2 linked regions of the Caenorhabditis elegans genome follow. The protein of the gene in region 1 interacts with the protein of each later gene in a pairwise test. Each region holds a gene or a part of one and is shown in the gene's direction. Other genes may lie near its edges.

The links.
Region 2: the proteins of npp-19 (region 1) and edc-4 interact in a two-hybrid assay, tested with the Caenorhabditis elegans proteins (one large-scale study listed by BioGRID).

What each region holds. Positions count from the first base shown.
Region 1 is NC_003280.10:10,796,776-10,800,529, reverse strand, and holds the start of npp-19 (Nucleoporin NUP35), read left to right. Parts: upstream 1-2,050; 5' UTR 2,051-2,053; coding exon 2,054-2,127; intron 2,128-2,193; coding exon 2,194-2,267; intron 2,268-2,316; coding exon 2,317-2,589; intron 2,590-2,639; coding exon 2,640-3,031; intron 3,032-3,081; coding exon 3,082-3,266; intron 3,267-3,445; coding exon 3,446-3,512; intron 3,513-3,555; coding exon 3,556-3,636; 3' UTR 3,637-3,754.
Region 2 is NC_003279.8:3,348,178-3,351,931, reverse strand, and holds the start of edc-4 (FHA domain-containing protein), read left to right. Parts: upstream 1-2,040; coding exon 2,041-2,090; intron 2,091-2,167; coding exon 2,168-2,315; intron 2,316-3,311; coding exon 3,312-3,440; intron 3,441-3,485; coding exon 3,486-3,598; intron 3,599-3,660; coding exon 3,661-3,754.

The sequences.
Region 1 (3,754 bases):
TTTGTCTTAAATATAGAATTTACAATTAATATTAATTTCGGTGGCCTGAGACAAAATGTGATTATGAAAATGTTGAGCTTTCAATTCTATTAGCGCTGCACACGTTTCCATTTTTAGAACTCATTAAAAATCTCAAAAGCATTGAGAAGAGATAGAGAAAAAAGAAAACATCATCATCATCATCAACACATCCTGTAGAGTGCTTTTAAAAGGAAAGAAGAGAGGAAGAAAAATGTGAAAAAGAAGCGTCGAGAGCAACTTGTTGAGTGAGTGAGGGGGGCACAGAAGGATCACATCCAATTAGGATTGAATGAATGCTGTCGTACACACAAGAAAGTGGAATGGAACGATGAGTAGAATAAAAAAAGAAAAATGATGGAAAGGGATGCACTTGGGACACATTGCCGAAAAAAAAACGAATCGTTGCTATAATGTTCTTCCGCTAGTCTTCATAGATCCCGTTGCCAGGTGACCTCGTCTCCAAAAACTTTCTTAAATTTCGAAATCGGAGAATGTGTACTCCACGAGAAGAAGAGTGTGCGAAAATTGCAAATTTTGCAACCTCCGCACGGTTATGAGAATGAGAGCTCAATGAACCTTGCGGAGGTTGCAAAATCTGCAAGTTCCGCACGGTTATGTGGGTGTGGCCAATACCATCGTTTTCTATTCTCAATTTCTGTTATTACGTGGTAGTCTAAAGATGAAAGTTTTCGGGTCTCACCACGCTGAAATTGGGTTACTGTAACTGGACCAATATTGTGCCATTTTTAATATTATATTCAAATTCTTGACAGCAATTTTCGATTAAATCTGAAAATTATGATACTATGCTACCCGTAAATGGAGACGAGTTACAGTAACTCGGCGTGGCGAGACCTAAGATTTTACGAAATTTTCCCAATTTTGACGTCTACGTAATAATTCCCTCTATCCCAAAATTTGTTTTGTAACAGTACGGAAATTGTAATTTCCGTACGGTTTTATGGGAATCACAGTTTGAAAGTTTCAGTTCAAAAATCAAAATCTCATCTTCTAAGAGGCGGGGCGAAAACACCAAATTTGACGCGCAAGTTTGACTACATCATCAGGTCGCCACTTCTGCTCCAGTCAGAACCAACCACATTTTCTGAAAATAAATTACATCCGGTTCGGTCCGAAAACTAATATTAAATACAATTTTCATTCAATTCATCATCTTTTGGTTTTTTTTCTTTCTCATTTTGACCAACCCGCAAATATTATACGACACAGGGGGCTATATAGTCGTGCGCGACGAAACATTTTTCTTTCCCAAAAAAGGAATGAATTCTCATTTTATTTGATGAAGAGGCGGGAAGAAGCTCTCCGAACGTTGTGCTCTGTGTGGTCAACAAAAAAAGGTCGACGACACAGAAAAGGAATTTAATTAAATGGGGGACCCCGTCGTCGTGCATTTCTCAATTTTCTCCGTTTTTTTTTGCAATTAAAACGAGGAGGAGTGAGAAGAAACGAGTGGTGCTCGTTGAAATTTGAAAACGAAAATTAGACGAGGGAGTAGGTCAAAGGGAAATAAAAACAAAAACATCTGAAATGTGTAATTAAATTTCTAGAATTTTTTAGAATTCAATATTTTATGGATAGGTATGTACTATAGGGGTCGGCGGTATTATACAGTAACCCATACACGAATTTCACTTTTTTCAGTGTCTAGTGTTGAAGAAAAAAAATCAAAGTTCAAACAGAAAATCGACTTCATCAAAATTACAAAACATCCGATCAGAGAAAAAAAATTTTCTCTTTATTTCCCGCAGAAAACCTCCCAGCAAACTTTCACCACAAAAACCCTATTTTAAACTCCCTCCATTTTCAAGTCCGCAATTGCGCGTAGCTTTGCGTGTTTTGTCGTTGCGGACTTTGATTTTTCAAACAAAAATGTTTTTTCTTGGAACTTTTCGAACCTGTTTTCCACTTTAAAAAAGCGGTATTTTTCAATTCTTTCTTTATTTTAAATTTGAAAAACTTGTTTATTGCTTAAATTTTTAATTAAAAAGCATTTTATTTCGAAATTCAGGCCATGTTCTCGCATCTTAACCAAAATACATCCGGAAGGCATAACTCAATGGATCTCAACAATTCTAGTATTTCAAAGTGAGTAATTTGTTTCTTATTTTGCAAAAAAAAAACCAGTTTTTAATACTAAAAATCTAATTTTAGCTTCGGGACACCAGTTGAACAGTCTACGCCGGCACTTCTTTTCGGAAAGCGAAAGGCAACTGTTCCATCTTCGTGTAAGTAAAGTTTATCTTAAGTTTTCTCAAAAATATGATAATTATTTAGACACCGCTAGCCCGCTCAACACTGCATCGGCACCATGTTCGGATATTTTCGCTGTTTCTGCACCGGCAGTGCCGCAGCATTTGAAGGATACACCGGGCTCTAAATCAGTTCATTGGTCTCCATCTTTGGTGCAATCTGGTGAAAAGTCGGCGGCACAAACACAGAATACACCTGCCAACTTGTCTTTCGGAGGAAATTCATCATTTTCGGCGCCGACAAAGCCAGCTCCTCAGTCGATTCAGACATCATCTTTCGGTGGTCAAGCGATGCATGGTTAGAATTTACATTTTTTCGCGAATATTTAAAATAAAATTGATTTTCAGCACCACCTCTTCGATCTCTTCGCGACAAAGTTGAACCAGCGAAAAAGATCTCCAGACGAAATACATTCACTGCCAGATCAACACCACTTTCCACTCCAATCACTCAACGAGTCACATCCAGGTTGGCTGAAGCAGAAGAACAACCAATGGAAGAAGAAGCCGACGCAGCTGATACCTGGGTCACTGTTTTTGGATTTCAGCCAAGCCAAGTGTCGATTTTGTTGAATTTATTCTCGCGGCACGGGGAAGTAGTTAGTCATCAGACTCCATCAAAAGGAAACTTCATACATATGCGCTATTCGTGTGTCACACACGCTCAACAAGCTATTTCTCGAAACGGAACTCTCCTCGATCAGGATACATTTATTGGAGTCGTTCAGTGCACAAATAAGGTAAGTAAAAAGGATATATTTATTTTTTATTTTAATTTTAAAATTTACAGGACGTGATCAACGGCTCAGCATCCGGAATTGTTGCTCGATCATCTAACATTGCTGCAGCTGCAAACCGATCTGCTTCCATGTATAACTCATTTGTGGAGAACGATATGGCCGATCAATCAGTTAATCACAATGAGAACAGTGTGCTCAACTCGTCGAATGTTTTTGATGCAAATAACTCGCTCAAGTATGATTAGAAATTTTTAGTAAAAAATTCATAAAAATCTAAATTTTATACTTGAATCTGCTAAAGCGAAGTTTGTAGTTTGTAGTCTAGCGCTACTCCACTTTGAAAATGTGAAAAAGAAAAAGTTAATTTTTCACAATTCAATTAATATTTCCACAAAAAATTGTTTATGTTTTCAGTTCTTCTCGTATTTCCGTCCGTTCTGGTGTCGGAATGAGACCATTGGCTGCCGATCAAAGAACAAACGTAAGCATTTCATTGATTCAATCCTTCTAACCAATTAAAAAAGATTTTACAGGGAACCCCATCGGTTCGCAAGGCACCTGACGGATTGCTCAACAAGTTCTGGAACACGATCGGACTCAACTAATCTTTTTGCTCATTGGAAATATCGCCCATTTTTCTGTTTTATTTCACCATTTTTTTCTTTTGTTGTGTATCCTTCTTTTTCGAATTTCTGAAAACAGTTTCGTTTCTCACGGTTTTTC
Region 2 (3,754 bases), on another chromosome or scaffold:
CTTTTAAGCAGGCAAAACACAGGCGTAGGTATTGCAGGCAGGGACAAGACAAGCCTAGGTATTGTAGACAGGCACAAGACATACCTAAGTCTTTTAGGCAGGTACAAGGCAAGCGTAGGTCTGATAGGCAAGCAAAATTCAGTCGTAGGTATTGTAGGTAGGCCTGCTTTTCAAAAAAAAGTGTACTTAGAAAAAAATCGGGAGGCCAAAAAGTGTCGATACGTGTGTGTGTGTTCAAAAAGAGATCGGATCAAGAGGGGATTTCATAGATTCTATTTTTCAAAATTTGGATAGTCTTTGACCGAACAAAAGAGGGAATATAGTGAGACGTAATCGAAAGTGTTAGAACTTTTTTTTAACCTGTGGGATGATTGTCTAGTTTTTTGATGTACTCTCTCTCCTCTTTCTCACTCGCTCTCTGTGTGGTCATTGTTGTCTTAAATTTTGGCGCATAGTTTTTGGGCAAAAAAAGCAGGGAGACAGGCATTTGTGGATAGGCATGAGTTACCATAATATTGCCCAGATGTAAATTTTTGCGGTTTTGCAGTCTCAGAGCTCCCAATTTCATAAATTCAAAAAAGTGTGTACCTTTAAAGAGTACTGTAGTTCACAATTTCTCGTGACCTCTGGATTTTCAGATTTTTTCTAGTTGGTCTCCCGTTTCCTAAAAATGTTTACATATTACGGGAACACAAAATTCTGAGAATGCGTATTGCACAACAGATTTTACGCGAAAAATATCTCGAAGCGAAAACTACAGTAATTCTCTAAATGACTACTGTAGCGTTTGGGTCGATTTATCGGCTCGATTTTTGAAATTATTTTTTTCCATTAGTAGCAGTAATAATCCATCATCATCTTTTACTCTCTTACTCTCTTACTATCATCTCTTACTATCATCTTTTACTTCAAAAAATTTCAAAAATCGAGCCGATAAATCGACCCAAACGCTACAGTAGTCATTTAAAGAATTACTGTAGTTTTCGCTACGAGATATTTTGCGCGTCAAATATGTTGCGCAATATGCATTCTCAGCATTTTGTATTCCCGTAATACTAATGAAAAATATTTTCACATATCTTTCGATTTTTTTTACAGTACTCCTTAAAGGCGCGCTGTCTTTTGCAATGTAAAAAATTCGGTCGCTTCGAGACCTATTACCGTATTTCTGAAATTTTTCTCTGTTCAGAACGTTCAGTGACAACTAAAACCAATTTTTCCTCTGAAAATACAGAAAAAATTTGTGAAATTCTGTAAAAATGGGGGAATAAATATTTTTAAAACATGATGATCCCGTGAACGTGACCCTGAACTCCCGAAAATATCCACGTGGCTAATCCAACTCCCACATATGAACTTTAAAATCAAAAAATTTATTTCGCCGAAAGATGAGCCAAATGCAAAAATTGGGCTCGAAGAGCAAAGGTCAGAATCCGAATAAAGGGGATGAGGTGGAGATGCTTCGTGCCGGATTCAAGAACAAGCATGGAGAAGCTGTCAAATCGCAGGGACAAACCATGAATATTGAACTCTAGTAGGGGTTTTCCCCCTAGCTTCGGTGCGAATTTGAGAATAAATATTTTTACTTAAGTAAAAAGTATATACTTGAATATTTATTTAAATTTTTAATTAAATAAATGAGACCCCACAATTTGAGAATGCCTGAAACGAACCTGTGACTTTTCCAGAAAAAATCATTGTGAATTTCAATTAAAAAGTTTGAATATTGTTGGCTCAAATGAGTTACTATTATATTACTAATATTTCGCTGTTCAAAATACACTTTTCAGCTTTGAAAGTTATCTATTCCCTCACATTTCTAATTCCCACGTTTCTCCGTCTCCTTTCCATCGAGAGTTCTCAGTCCGCAATTTGTCGTCACGGTGTACATTTGCAGAAACACTTTCACTTGTTTGCAAGTGTTTTTTTGTTGTTCTCTCGGCGTCTCTGCTAATTTTTTCGGTTTTAACCAGTTTTAATGTTCCGAATTTAATAATTTTTGATTAAAAATCAAGGTTTCCAAGTTTTCAGGGTATTCCGATGGTCGATTCACACGGTTTGCAGTCGCCAGACGTCGTTGTGGAGAAATAGTGAGTTGGGCCAGGACGAATATCGATTTATTTATCGTTTTCCTGTATGGAAATTCAAAAATTCAAATGATTTACAGCACTATATCGAGAGAAAAGTCGTCGATTGGCTTCGAAATCGGCAATAATGTGACCGTTCAGTTGAACGCGCCATCGGACGTTGACAACGGGCGAGAACGGGATTCGTCGAATGCGCACACAAAAGTTATTATGGATCACAAGGGAGATGTAAGAGAATTAAAGAATTAAGAATCGTCAATGGGAAAATTGTTTAAAAATATAGTATTTGTACTCAAACTTCCAATTATTGCAAAAGAAAAACGGGAAAAATCCGCTAACATTCAGCAGTTTAAGTCAGAAAAATCGTCGAAAATGTAAATTTAAAGGGAGAGTAGAGTTTCTGGGTATTTTGCTCAAATAGACTAAAACTGGTCCAAAACCAACGAATTTCATAATGAGACTTCACAAAAACTTTCCAAAAATTTTTTATGGCCGGTCAAAATTTCAAAAAAAAGAGCCAAATTTTGCTAAAATCTGAAATTTCGCACACTTTTCTTTGTCACAGCCGCTGGATTTGAGTTTTTCTGAAATTATCACCCTTTAATCCTTATTTTAGTAATTTATCTCGCGGAAATTCGTTGATTGAGACAACTTTTTGGCCGATAGGATTCCAAAAATGATCAAAATTGGATGCCTATCGGCCTAAAAGTTGTCCCAATCAACGAATTTCCGCGAGATAAATAACCAAAATAAGGATTAAAGGCTGATAATTTCAGAAAAACTAAAATCCAGCGGCTGTGACAAAGAAAAGTGTGCGAAATTTCAGATTTTAGCAAAATTTGGCTCTTTTTTTTCGAAATTTTGACAATTTTTTTTTTGACAAAATTTTTGCCACGAGGATCAATCGAATCTTTCTAAGAAAGAAAACAAATTAAAGTTCGAAATAAATACATTTAAATCAATATTTCGTTGAACGAAAATGGCCTAGAAATCGTGTAGTGGCCTAGGTTTCAAATGCGCGCGAAATTCAAATTCAGCCACTTTCGTCGATTTCAACGGTTAAATGCTGAATATTAACGGATTTTTCCCGTTTTTCTTTCGCAATAATTGGAAGTTTGAATACAAATACTACATTTTAAAACAATTTCCCACATTGACGATACTCCTTTTTTAAAGTAAATTTAAAAAAAAAACACAGAATTTAAATACATTTTTTTATTTCAGATTCAATATCTACGCGGGAGAATTTTGACGTCAAACGGACCAATCGTCGGATTCCGCTCAATTCACGAGTCTGTCGGTGAATCCATGAACCTTATCAATTTGCAAACAAAGCAAAGGCACCGTTTTAAGGTTTAAAAGCCAAATTTTGATTTTTTAATTTAAAAATTGCTTCAGGACTTCCCATTCCGTACAATCGACCTTGCCTTCGCCCAACATCACAAATACCTCGCCGTGCTCAACGCCGACCTCTCACTTGTAGTATTTGAGGTGTCTGACAGATGCGATCCGTTAGTTATTCTACAAAATTGGAAAAAAAAATCCAGAAAAATCGAATTTCAATTATTTTCAGAAAGAAATACCTGTCGATCGTGAATTGGCCGTCATATCAATCACAGGGAAACGAGGATCAACCGAAACTCTCGTGGTGTCCGTATATTCAGGGT